Xenopus tropicalis: one gene and its partners. The protein of the gene in region 1 interacts with the protein of each later gene in a pairwise test. Links are inferred from orthologs where the notes say so. Each region holds a gene or a part of one and is shown in the gene's direction. Other genes may lie near its edges.

Region 1 (4,425 bases):
GGAAAAGTGTTCCTGACTGTCATAAAAGTGTTATTGATGTGGTAAATATTAAACTGCTACATATTATTACATAAATCTGATGTTTCATTTTTGGATGATTTTAAAAGAAAAACTTTAAAAGTTAATAAGCATACATCCACTCTTTGCAAAAGGAAAAATGCAAATTGCAAAACCTAAACTTGTGAAAAATATAAACAAAATACAAGGCAGAGGCAAATGTGCTGAGGGGGTTGTGTACAATACAGTTTTCCCCACACATATGCCAAAAGTCAAAAATGACACTTGCTGTATATTGTGGTATGCAGTGACATATTTCTGACATGAGACATGCCCATGCTTGGCAAGTCAGTTTCTCAGGTACATTAAAGCAGTTGGAATTCCGTCCACACCAACTATCTGTAAAACACCGCTACATATTTCATGAAATCAAAGCTTTATTCACATGGTGTCAAAAACAGTACATGAACATGTAGGGAACTAATGCATTTCGCACATTTCAACAAGCATTTTCTCAGAGCTGAGCAGTGCTGCATTATTCACTCTTCTGAATGTAAGTTGCTTCCTTGCTCAAATGTACATTATGTTATAAATTTGGACTATATGAATGTCTGAAATCTACATACTAATATCTATCTTGAGCAAAGACTTTCATTTATTTATTTGTAAAAATCAAAAAAATAGATAGCAGGTAGCCATTTTTCTATACTGTATTAAGCTACATAATGAGCACAAAAAGTGCCAACATATCCTGCAACACTATACAACAGAATGGTGCATCCATTAAATGACATGGGTACAAGACCCTTTATGTGCAGTTATATATATATATATATATTTACAAGTTTACAGGCAGCAGAGAAAAAAAAAGTCGCTTTATTAAGTGCAACTAAGCACACTTTTTCCAAGTGTATAAATAAAACTATTCGGTGCACGTAATAGTGTCGGTGTCAGTTGAAATGAAATATTTTATTTGCAAGCCAGAGCAAGTAAATGGAGTAGAGTGCTGAGAGCACCCATTACATTCCCATGAAGGAAGGGGTGAATCAATATTACTAGCTCACAGTTGTAAACAATGCCTCCATTGTGCAATGAGTCACAATACAACAGGATATGTGACACTGCGCCTCAGGAGCTCACAGTAGATGTCAGTAACGAGTCTCCGAGCCGATTTGGACAGCCAATAAACAAGCAGGGAGGCAGAGAAGGAGGCAGAGGGGTGGGCGGGCCCTTCAGAGAGCAACAAACACACGGCAGTCACACACGCTGCCTGGCAATCAGGAGGGAGAAAGGGGCAGTCACACACTCTGGGAGATACACAAATACACACAGGCGAGTGGCCATGCTTGTACTACAGTGCAACCCTAGGTCATTAAGCTGAGCCCGTACATTCAGAGCATCTGTGGCACAGCCCGGACTGACAACTGCACAGGCACACAAACACACACATCAGCCACAAACAAGGGCTGCAGCGGTAGCAGCTCCGTCTCCCCTCGGAAAGCCTTCCTCTTTGCAAGGCGGTGGGGGTGGATCGTGATTGAGAAGCTCTCCTTGGCTCCTGGGAACAACAACAACAACAGAAAAAAAGCAGCAGCAGCAGTCGCTGCCATGTGATGGGTCCCTTTGCGGTCCGCTGGGAATGCTACAAATAAAGAAGAAGATCGAGTGAAAGAAGGAGGAATTGAAAGTGCACGGGAGGTGAGTCCATTGGCTGGGGGGGGGGGTCCCTGCAGGTTTGGTACAGCTGACACCTGGCTAAGAATGTCAAACTGCAACCACCTTAGCATGTGTGACACTTTGGTCCTCAGATGTTGAGGGATGCTGGGATTTGTAGTCCTATATAAATATTTCCGGCCTGAGTGCTGTCCGGATTTCGCACAGGAGCTGCATTGTTACAGCGCGGGGAGACATTCCTGTTCCGTGCGGTTCCCGGGTGTCAGTGTGGGGTTATGGGAGTAGCAGGCTGAGCCCAGCTTGGCTCTTGCTGTGCTGTGCTTATAGAGAGAGAGGGGCAGCTGTCATAATTATTATATTGCCTTTAACCCACGAGTGGTGCTGGGTAACAATGTGCAGTTGTGGGTATCAGGGCAGCCCAAGGTGCCATTCACAGCGGCTTTTATGAGGCCGGAGAGTCAATGAGCGACTTATCCAGGCAGCAGGGTAGCACAAGGTGAAGCTGCTTTGCTGAGTTGGTTGTGCTGAGCACAGTGGGGCTGCCCCCCGTCACTGCTGCCTGCAAGCACTACTCAGCATATTTAGCAGCAGCACCAGGCGGCTTCTTAGCTTTGGTCAGGGTTTCGTGTTGGCAAAGCCGTCTCACAGTATTTATAATGCCAGTGAATCCTAAATAACAATGTGTGCGTTGGCAGTGAAGTGTTGAGACGTAAAAAAAGCCATTCAGTTTGGTGCCGTTATGTAGCAGCATTGCAATGTGTGTTGGTAGAGATTCATTCATATTAACAGACCCTAGCAGGGCTGGTAGGGTGACACTTCTATAGCTTGCCTGCTGGATTTTGTCACACATCATAGATCAGCAGACTTTGACCTTCAGCTCTCCATCTGTTGTTGGCCTGCACCATCTAGCTCCCCCTGAAAGCCTTTGCTTGTGTATGTGTGCTGAAAAAGCCGTAGTTCAACCTGTGCAAGAGTGCTGCAGGTCAAACTGTATTACCCCTGTTTTAAAGATTCTGTTTATGGTGGGTTCAATATTGAACTTTTAACATTTTCCCTATATTCTACAGGCTTATGTCATGTATGTATGATATGTCCGATTTCATTGCCTTTGATTAGTGAGCAGATCACCAGCATATTGAGTGGTGTGTAGTGATTTCATGCAGGGAATCAGGCATGGTATGCTATTTGTATTACTGGTGACCACAAGCACTTTTCTTAACCTGCATAATATTAAATAGGTGATATTTATAACGTTCTTCCCTTCAACCCAATGGGCTATCGTTAATTAAAACCCAGTTTATTTTGTGGTGTCATTAAACCCATCATAATGTTTACTGTCCCAAAAACACAACTGCTAACCTGATGCTAAGCTAAGCCGTTTATTCACCATTACAGCTGAATTTCCAAGCAGTGGGGTTAATGCCGTTTCTCAAATGTCAATTCATCAGCAAAATGTGTTTCCTCGACTCTGACCAATGTGGTTCAAAGAGTTTTCACAGTAGATTTCCTCTGCCGGTGTATTTAAGCGAAAAGGATAATAACACTCAGCTGCAAAGCATAAATAGTAAATTTGCCTCCCCAGTGGGGATAATAGTAAACATAATGCGATCTGCAGTAACATCCTGCTTGCTACCTAAACACTACGATTAGATGCCCAAATGTTGCAGTTCTGACACGCTGAACATGCTTTCCTGCTGGGAGTGTATCGTATGTAGTAAAAGTTGCAAACCTTGTATTTGGTCTAGTAACCCATTGCCACCAGTCAGGTGTAAGCTTTTAAACAGGTGGTTCACAGATACAACCTGCTTGGGGTAATTAGACATGCCGCAAACTTTGGGACTTTAACTACATTACCTCAGTGTTTTCCCATCTTTGCGAAGACCACAGGGAAAGTAATTTATATATACAAATGACTTATTCCCACATTGACAATCTGCGTTGGTGTCGTTTGTGCTATCCTGAGGTCTGGCGATGCGAAAGCAGTTTTGATGGTGGATTTTACATTTATTAGGAATTAGCCTGTATTTTCCTACTCTGTTTAGGTCTGCAGCAACGTGTTATAACAAAAGGATTGGATTTAGAAAATCCAAATTTTCTCTCATTTTTTTTAAAATTTCTTTTAGTCTTTTTTTTGTGTGCAATAGATTTGTCTTGTTTCTTATTTTTAAATTTAAAAAAAAAAAAAAACACCTAGAAAATGTGTAGAAATGTAAACATATAGTTACACTATGTAAACTATAGCATTTTATAAATATTCTGCGAGTAGTTAATCCGAAAATAGCAGCAAAATATAGTAGTCATTGGTGTTTTGCTGGTGTTTACTCAACAATGTAGTAAAAGTTCCCAGATCTAATAACCCAAGGCAACCTAACAGCTAGTAGGAATCTTTTAGTAAAAAAAAAAAAAAAAAGATTTGTTTGCAAAAGACTGCATGTCCTGGTGTAAGATGCTCTTGTGAACCTGTGTGGTATTTCTTCAGTTTATGTTGTTGAGTCAGATCAAGCCCATGTAGCAATTAGGGATGAAGGGAGTTTAGGGGGTAATTATAAATCTGTGGATAAAAAAAAAATCATTCCCAGGCGTGGAATCATCTGGTCTGTTTTAATGCAAATCAGTCATGTTTTGGGCCTTCCCACTGAACTAGTTGTGACTGGTTGTTTTCTGGGAGCTGTAGTTTAATAACAGCTGGAGTTTGCAGGTTGTCCATGATTGTCAAATGTAGGCTTCCTGTGCCAATATCTGCCATGTATTGAA
Region 2 (4,592 bases), about 71 Mb from region 1:
ATTTAAACCCTAGCAACCAAATGACTGCTGAAAATTCAAATTGGAGAGCTGCTGAACTAAGTGAAATAATTAAAAAAAAACCACAAATAATAAAAAATGAAGACCAATTGCAAATTGTCTATATTATTGTTTATATTATTGTCTAATATTACTCTCTGTGTCATACTAAAGCTGAACAACCCCTTAAATGTAACAGCTCAGATCCAAGCTAGGTCTAATGGGCTAAAATTCTATATAATCTGTATATGCTAATATTATTCTATATACTGTATATACTCGAGTATAAACCTAGTTTTTCAGCACCCAAAATGTGCTGAAAAAGTCACCCTCGGCTTATACTTGAGTTGGGTGCCATGGGTCTCTCTAGACTAGCACCCTCTCTCCTTTGTGTGCAAATTAGGCCCCCCGCAACCAGACCCTCCAGTGCCCTGGCCTAGGCTCCCTGTAGCAATACTTATTTCCCCTTACATCTCCTCCGGGACTGGGTCTGCTGCCAGTTTGCCAATGTGCAATGATAGTGGGGTAGTACTCATATTGTTTTTGTTGACCCTCTTTAACACTTACAGAGCTAGTTTACTGTTTTTCTTTTAAATAAATATTTAAAGACATATACCCCACTGATGCCTCAATTAATGTAATTTACTGGTTTTTATTTTGATTATTGAAACTTAGCAGTAGCTAAGTCAATAAGTTTTTCCAGTTTTCTTAGGTAAAATTAGGTACCTCGGCTTATATTTGGATTGGCTTATACTCAAGTGGTATTCTGTATATTATGTATAAAGGTATATTGGTTAGTCCCTAAGCTGAGGTAAATGACAGCAGTCCAGAGCAGGTGCTGGGACATAGCAGGGAATTACTGGGGGCATCTTCAGAGGCACAGATCTTAACTTCTAAAGGGTTCTTGCCGCCTTGGACTGGTACAACATAAGGTGTAACATATCTATGTCAATTCTTTGTTGGGTTTTAGTTTTCCTTCACTTTAGCAGATTCTCTTGCTTTCCCATGGGGCCACAGTCACACCATCTAAAAAGAAGATCTGGCCTGCTGCCATTGATTGGATGGTGGGTAGGGCTGCCATGTTTCCTGGGGACAAGATACCAACATTGCTATGTCTGTTGTCTTTTCTTTCCTATTTGGCAGGAAGGGTCGGCTTGACTGACTGGTAAAATACTGGCCAGTTGGCAACCCTAGTGAGAGATCTAATGATGACAGACTGTGATCTTCTGCCCACCTACCCATCTGACTAAATCATACAATATTCACCTATAAGGTCTATAGACTGGTTATGCTTTTTAAATGCTCAAAATTAACAATTATTTCCTTTTTTAATTCCTAAAAAGAGAATCTTAGACAACCCACTTTCAGAACTGAGTATTAAATCTTTCCTCTGTGTTGTGGTTGAACTCCATTAGTAAGAGCTCAAGAGCTTAGCAGTAAACAAACTCGAATGAGCTGAAAAGGAAGTGGCTTGTTCATCAGAAACACTTGCGGCAGAGCTCACACTTACTCACTGGGTGCAGTCGCAGCCCTTTACTTACACATGAAACCTGCCTATAGGAGAGGATCATTGAATGTCTGTGCAGAATCCAATTAGCTGGCATCTCCCCCAAGCCTGGCATGAAGGTTGTAGACTTGGCTCTGGGCATCCTGATGGTCAAATGCATCTTTGTGTGGTTGTCACAATGTTTGGGTGGTACAGTGACAATGCCAAGAGATTGCAGTGTTTGGTCAAACTGCTTTATACTTTTCACAGTTCTAGAAATACATGTATGGGGCCTTTTATCCGGAAACCCATTATCCAAAAACCTCCACATTACGGGAAGACCATCTCCCATAAACTCCATTATAATTGAATAATTTTTATTTATTTATTCAATTTTTCTCAGTAATAATAAAACAGTACCTGTACTTGATCCCAACTAAGATATAATTACCCCTTATTGGGGGCAGAACAGTCCTATTGGGTTTATTTAATGGTTAAATGATTCCCTTTTCTCTGTAATAATAAAACAGTACCTGTACTTGATCCCAACTAAGATATAATTACCCCTTATTGGGGGCAGAACAGCCCTATTGGGTTTATTTCATGGTTAAATGATTCCCTTTTCTCTGTAATAATAAAACAGTACCTGTACTTGATCCCAACTAAGATATAATTACCCCTTTTTGGGGGCCAAACAATCCTGTTGGGATTATTTCATGTTTAGATCTTTTTTTAGCGGGCATGGTGTTCCAAATAAAGGAAATGCACCTATAAATGCTGCCTATACCCACTTTACACTCTCCTCTCTCTCTTTCAGAGCTCAGATACCAGCGACAGGAAGGTTCGCAGGAGAGAAAAGAACAGAGTTGCTGCCCAGAGAAGCCGGAAAAAACAAACACAGAAAGCTGACAAACTGCATGAGGTACAGTACAAGGGTTGGAAACCCATCATCCTTTTAGATATTGCTGAACTACAGGTCCAGCAGCCATCTATAGGGGAGCAGGTTGCTTGCTTTTGCAATGGTTCTTCCTTGCATACCTTAAGTGGAGGGGTTTACTAGGAAATTGATATGGTTTGGTTGGAATGGGGTATGGCTGGTTGAAAGTAGGCATAGTATATTTGAATCACAACCGCAAATATCTCCCAATTTAAACTGGGAATAACGGGATGCAGTGGTCCCAACTGACCCAATATAATCTAGATTCCAGTGGGATAGGAGGTTTGTGGGCTGTGCAAGAGTGGAGCACAAGCACATGGTGGACGGGACTTGGAAATATTTTTTTGTTGCTTTTGAAACAGATGTCTTTGAATTCAAAGGAAAGCTAAAAATAACAATTAGAAGTTTGCTCTAGTTCTAGTAACCCACAGCAACCAATATATGACCTGTATTTATAGTAAATTGAGCCATCTGGTTGCTGTGGGTCAGGCCCAGACTGGCAATCTGTGGATTCTGGCAAATGCCAGAGGGGCTGTAAGGTGCCACAGTCACTATTTATTGGGCTGCTGGGGGCTGTTTGTACCTCTGTGTAATTGAAATGGGTCCCAGTGCTGACCTGCTGTGGGTAACAGGAACTGGAGGAAACACAAATTGTATTCTCCTTCTACTCTTAAGGTCCCCATACACGGGCCGATTATAGCTGCCGATATCGGTCCCTTGGACCAATTCGGCAGCTTATCGGCCTGTGTAGTGGCAGAACCGAGGGGCCTGGCCGACCGATATCTGGCCTGAAATTGGTTGTTCGTTGATGCGGCCCCCGATCCGACTGCCCCATTGCCGCGTGTAGAATTCACCTACATGCCTCCCCGATATCGCCCACCTGTAGGTGGGGATATCGGGTGAAGATCTGCCCATGTATGGCCAGCTTTACAGCCATACAACCAGTAATCTGTCATTTTATTTTCATGATAGTTCCCCATTAAGCCTTAATACAGGTGAGGGAGTAGCCCATACACAAGATGACGTTTCCCATACATCAGCAGTGACAGATCCTAAAAGGACCACTTTCTCTCTAATGAACATTGTTTCTCTCATTTGACAGGAATATGAATGTTTGGAACAGGAAAACTCATCCTTGAAGAAGGAAATCGGGAAACTAACAGATGAACTGAAACATCTTAGCCAAATTCTGAAGGACCATGAGCAAATATGCCCGTTTCTGCACTGCCCAGTGAACTATGTGACGGTGCCCCGAGTGACAGATGCTGTTCCTGGCTGTTTGCCGCGGTGACTTCCTGGCTGTGAATGTCATTTCCTCTTTGACCTACGGCCACATTTTCTGCTGTATCCTGAAGCCAACAGAATCCCCCCCCCCCCCCCCCCGGTGCATGACGCCATAAACACCTCTGTGATTGTTACTGCAGGGAAAAGACAAATATGATGGAATCGACAACTTACCTATCACTGTTCCATGTCCTGTAAACCAAGATGGCTCCTGGAAATGAGAACTTGACCTCCTGGTTTCTACTGCTGCTTTGTCTAAGGAAGGCCAAGCGCTACACCCCCTTGTTCTACATGAGCGCAATGAATAGGGCTTGTGCTGAACATACTTTTGGATTATTGTTTTTTTTATCAGAAGAAATCTATGATTTTTGTTATTTCTCAAGCTAAATAAGGAAACTAAAGCTGCTCTATGTTTGTTACTTGCAAGAATGTTATTACCAGTATTCAACCCCCTCCCTTCCCCTTTGTTGTGACTGTTCTGTTAGGAGCAGCCTATTATGCAGGGAGATTATCTGTGCACTGGAATCGAATTATCTACTTCTATCTACTATTTATGCACCAAACATGGAGCAGCGTCAGTTTCCCTGTTTTCTCAAGAAACATCAAATAACATAGATTTTTCTTAGTTAAATTAATAAACAAAAATTATGTTTAGCCCCCTATTCATTTGTTTATTTTATTTCCCCTACTTTCTAACTCAATATAATTAATCCTTATTGGGGGCAAAACAATCCTGTTGGGATTAATTGTTAAATGATTTTTTAGTATTTATCAGTTTTAGAGTGTGTGAATTTGAGTTTGTTTTTCTAAATTGAATAAACTTGCTTATGGAATGCTCGCTTATTTATTAATGAGGTAAGCGTGTGTGAAAAAAACTCTAATACCTCG
Region 3 (4,647 bases), on another chromosome or scaffold:
CCTCCCAGCAGGGCCGGATTTGTCTTCTGGGCGCCCCTAGGCCACCCCCGTTGACCCCCCCCCCCCCCAACGCGCATGCGCGAACGAGTGAACAACCACCTGCGAGCACGCATACGCACACATTTAAAGTCCCATAAGATGTTCCCACCGCTCCGAATGGAAAAAAACTTTAAAAACCCTGTTGCGGGGGGCGTGCCGCCCCTACATTTCTGCCGCCCTAGGCCCAGGCCTTTATGGCTTCTCCACAAATCCGGGCCTGCCTCCCAGTCAAGTTATGGTACAGCTTTTGGATGTCCCCATACGTCTGCAGGACAGGAAGAGCAGCCTAGAGAAAATGAGATTTTCTTACTGGTAAATCCTTTTCTTGGATTTACTGTCAGTGCAGTAAGCCCCCCCCTTATCTCCTTTAGAGTAGTTGGCCTATGGGGTACCTGGCTATGCTGCCATGGTTATACAGTTGCTTAAAATTTTTGTTTTGTTCTTCCTTTTCCATCTAGTTATCCTTCAACAGTTTTTTTATGTACTCTTTCTTATCCTATCCTGTGTTTTTTGTTTTTTTTAAATACAGCCTCATCGCAGGTGAGCCACCTGCACCTGGAGAGAGCTCCTAGCGCACGCAGCCATGTTATTTAGTGCACATTAATAGCTGTGACAAGTAGCTGCTACTAAGTAGCTCCATGTGTCTTCACCCTTAGAGTTGTTAAACTAGGAGTATCTCACGGTTCCACTGTTAATAAAAAGACCCATTTGGATTCCTGGAAAACTACCCATTTGAAAATATATGAATAAACCTCACGCTCCAGGTATACTCTCTTTACAAATTGAACTATCCTCCAATGTGGGAAAAAAAGTAAGAACTTATTATCCCAATGGACTAAATACAAAATATCCTGGTTAGGACGAAGATGTTTATTTTACCAAAACTATATTTTTTTCACTCCCTACTTATTCCAGTACCTAAGACTGGGCTCATTACTTCACAAAAACTTTTAAACAGGTTCATATGGAATCATGGCTACCCTTGTGTTTTGGGTGCCATTTTATGTAAACATAAGAAAAGTGATGGTTTAAATTTTCTCAGTTCATTAAAATATTATCAGGCAGCTCAAATATCTCCTATAACTGTATTACGTTTCCGATTAACACAATTTTTTTGTGGTTAAAATCACAATATGCCAAAAATTTAGAGTAACCACGATAATTTCTGATGTTCGAAAATTATTTTATCGGTCGTACGAAAATATTATGGTTCGTTTTGAAAGTCACAAAATTTTCGGATCTGAACGTTCAGAAATGGCCCAAAAACCTTTCTGGCTTTGAAACCTTCAATGCATGATTTTGAAAGCCTTCCCAACTTGGCCAAAAGATAGTCACGATACCAAAGCTTGAATAAATTCCGAAATGATTGCAGTCTTTACGAAAAATACGACTTTCTTGTGGAAGTTAACGAAAACCACGAAAAAGTTGTGACATTTTAATGAAATTATCGTGGACATTACGAAAAGTTCAATAAATTAGAAAAAATACAATTTTTTCTCAAAAATAAAAATTGTGGTTTAATGAATGGGCCCCTAAGTGTAAGGGATTTCAGTTTTATCCATTTGCCTTCCATGACAAGCAGGCCCTAGAGCCTAGACCCTCAAAGTTTGTTTGTAAACATCCTGTAACTAGGATGAAACACAGTAGTAGTCACTGCAGACTATGAAATATTTCATTTCCAGTAACATGTAATATTTGATGGTATCCTTTAGCCAAACCTTAAACCATGTGACCAGCCTAAGAAAGTCTTGCTCAGCTGCAGCATCTGACTTCAGATCTCCCCTAATGTTGCTTCCTCCTTCCACTTTGGTCCAAATTTCATCCATGAAGTTAAGGATGGATATAAGGCTAAGATATTAATGCTAAACCTCACGTTAGGAAGCATTTTAATAAATATAGATGTTTTCAAAAGAACCCAGGATACTTCCCATAGTAATAGGGTTACAATGCTTACCAACAAAACCAAACCTTCTTTTAGGTAGTTAAATGTTATACTTATCTATTTCTTATCTAAAACTTTTGTCCTTTCTTCATCTTTATGACAATTACAACCTGAACTGCATCTTTGTTTTATAATATTTATTTGAATTTCTGCTCTTTCAAAACATTCCCTTATCTTTAGAATTGTCATCCGACAGACTTCCGGTAAAAAAAATCTTCCACGTTCAGCTACTCCCCTTCCTGTGATATCACATTGTCCAATAAGCACAGATCAGACCTGTGCTGGCTCCCACCTCTTTAAAGCCACAAGCTCCTCTGCCGGGGAACACAGAAATGTGGTTCCAGTGGTACAAATGTATTTTCCCAGTGTATCTTCAGGAGGCAGTTGCTAAACCCATTAGCTGTTGCTAAGTGGCAATCCTATCCCTAGAATAAATATTGTTTGCTGGTCATAAATTCCTGCAAACGCTTCTTTATTTCATCCTGGGCAACGGAGTTACTAATCCTGTAGCCTGCCTCCTTGCTTAGCTGTCCATCTGTCACCCTGCCCTCCTCTAATTCTGATTGGATGTGCTGCCAGAACCTGTGTGAGTGACATGATGCACACTGGGTTCTCCGTTAGCTGAATGGAAACGTTTTCTCCCCCTCCTTCCCCTCCCTGTTGGATAACAGAAAAGGTATGCTTTTTTTTTTCATTTTCTGCAGTCACAGTAGAAATATGAGACATGGGCTCTGTACAGGGAAAATTATTTTTGCACAGCAGCTGTCAGTTGTGTGGGCTCTGAGTTTAGGAACAAAAAAGAGAGAATATTCATTGAAACGCCTGGAGCGGAAAAGGGAATGCAAATTTTTTTGGAGGGGGGTGGGGCATGGTATTCTTTCATCTATATGACAATTACAGGCTGAACTGCATGTTTGATTCATAAGCCCCATTTGCCCTGTTCCAAGGCGTATGGGTCCAGGGGCACTGGAGACAAGCAAGGCTTATTTACAGATGGGAAGGCACACATTGTGTTGTGTTTCCTTTCATCCTGGCATCCTGGGCAATTCAGCTACTGATCATGCAGCCTGCCTCCTTGCTTAGCAGTCCATCTTCTGCCCCGCCCCCTCTGCTTGTGATTGGATGTGCTGCCAGGCACTGTGTGAGTGACATGCCCCACACTGGTTCTCTGTCGGCTGAATGGAACCACTTGCTCCCCCTTCTCCCTCCTTCCCCCTCCCTGTTGGATAGCAGAAAAGGTATGCTTTTTCATCTTCTGCAGTCACAGTGGAAATATGCAATGTGCGCCCTGTATGGGGAAAAGGGTTGCTAACAGAAATTCATAGACTCTCAGCAGGTGCAGAGACTATATTCTCTTGCCTTATAAATGTATTCATTAAATGCAGGCTTCTGGGCTTTTGCCTTATAAATGGATTGAATGTATTCTGCCTGGAGAGCTGTTTTCTGTGCCTCTTTTATTCTTCCCATCTCTAATGTGTACAACTGGGAGTTCTCGGCCTCTCTTGATTAACTGGCTATGCAGGTACTGATAACATGGTGTGAAACTAAGTTTAATACTATATTTGGCGCATATACAGTGGTGTGAAAAACTATTTGCCCCCTTCCTGATTTCTTATTCTTTTGCATGTTTGTCACACAAAATGTTTCTGATCATCAAACACATTTAACTATTAGTCAAAGATAACACAAGTAAACACAAAATGCAGTTTTTAAATGAGGGTTTTTATTATTTAGGGAGAAAACCTACATGGCCCTGTGTGAAAAAGTAATTGCCCCCTGAACCTAATAACTGGTTGGGCCACCCTTAGCAGCAATAACTGCAATCAAGCGTTTGCGATAACTTGCAACAAGTCTTTTACAGCGCTCTGGAGGAATTTTGGCCCACTCATCTTTGCAGAATTGTTGTAATTCAGCTTTATTTGAGGGTTTTCTAGCATGAACCGCCTTTTTAAGGTCATGCCACAACATCTCAATAGGATTCAGGTCAGGACTTTGACTAGGCCACTCCAAAGTCTTCATTTTGTTTTTCTTCAGCCATTCAGAGGTGGATTTGCTGGTGTGTTTTGGGTCATTGTCCTGCTGCAGCACCCAAGATCGCTTCAGCTTGAGTTGACGAACAGATGGCCGGACATTCTCCTTCATGATTTTTTGGTAGACAGTAGAATTCATGGTTCCATCTATCACAGCAAGCCTTCCAGGTCCTGAAGCAGCAAAACAACCCCAGACCATCACACTACCACCACCATATTTTACTGTTGGTATGATGTTCTTTTTCTGAAATGCTGTGTTACTTTTACGCCAGATGTAACGGGACACGCACCTTCCAAAAAGTTCAACTTTTGTCTCGTCGGTCCACAAGGTATTTTCCCAAAAGTCTTGGCAATCATTGAGATGTTTTTTAGCAAAATTGAGATGAGCCTTAATGTTCTTTTTGCTTAAAAGTGGTTTGCGCCTTGGAAATCTGCCATGCAGGCCATTTTTGCCCAGTCTCTTTCTTATGGTGGAATCGTGAACACTGACCTTAATTGAGGCAAGTGAGGCCTGCAGTTCTTTAGATGTTGTCCTGGGGTCTTTTGTGGCCTCTCGGATGAGTTGTCTCTGCGCTCTTGGGGTAATTTTGGTCGGCCGGCCACTCCTGGGAAGGTTCACCACTGTTCCATGTTTTT

Evidence for each region.
Region 2: the proteins of bach2 (region 1) and batf3 interact in binary tests that used the Homo sapiens proteins (3 or more experiments, as listed by UniProt). The link is inferred for Xenopus tropicalis from reciprocal best matches to the Homo sapiens genes BACH2 and BATF3.
Region 3: the proteins of bach2 (region 1) and mafg interact in binary tests that used the Homo sapiens proteins (3 or more experiments, as listed by UniProt). The link is inferred for Xenopus tropicalis from reciprocal best matches to the Homo sapiens genes BACH2 and MAFG.

What each region holds. Positions count from the first base shown.
Region 1 is NC_030681.2:85,092,625-85,097,049, forward strand, and holds the start of bach2 (transcription regulator protein BACH2), read left to right. Parts: upstream 1-1,222; 5' UTR 1,223-1,695; intron 1,696-4,425. UniProt on the Homo sapiens protein: Transcriptional regulator that acts as a repressor or activator. Binds to Maf recognition elements (MARE). Plays an important role in coordinating transcription activation and repression by MAFK.
Region 2 is NC_030681.2:14,411,336-14,415,927, forward strand, and holds the start of batf3 (basic leucine zipper transcriptional factor ATF-like 3), read left to right. Parts: upstream 1-1,617; coding exon 1,618-1,673; intron 1,674-2,242; coding exon 2,243-2,405; intron 2,406-3,522; coding exon 3,523-3,711; 3' UTR 3,712-4,592. UniProt on the Homo sapiens protein: AP-1 family transcription factor that controls the differentiation of CD8(+) thymic conventional dendritic cells in the immune system.
Region 3 is NC_030686.2:27,981,755-27,986,401, reverse strand, and holds the start of mafg (transcription factor MafG), read left to right. Parts: upstream 1-1,530; 5' UTR 1,531-2,606; coding exon 2,607-2,657; intron 2,658-4,647. UniProt on the Homo sapiens protein: Since they lack a putative transactivation domain, the small Mafs behave as transcriptional repressors when they dimerize among themselves.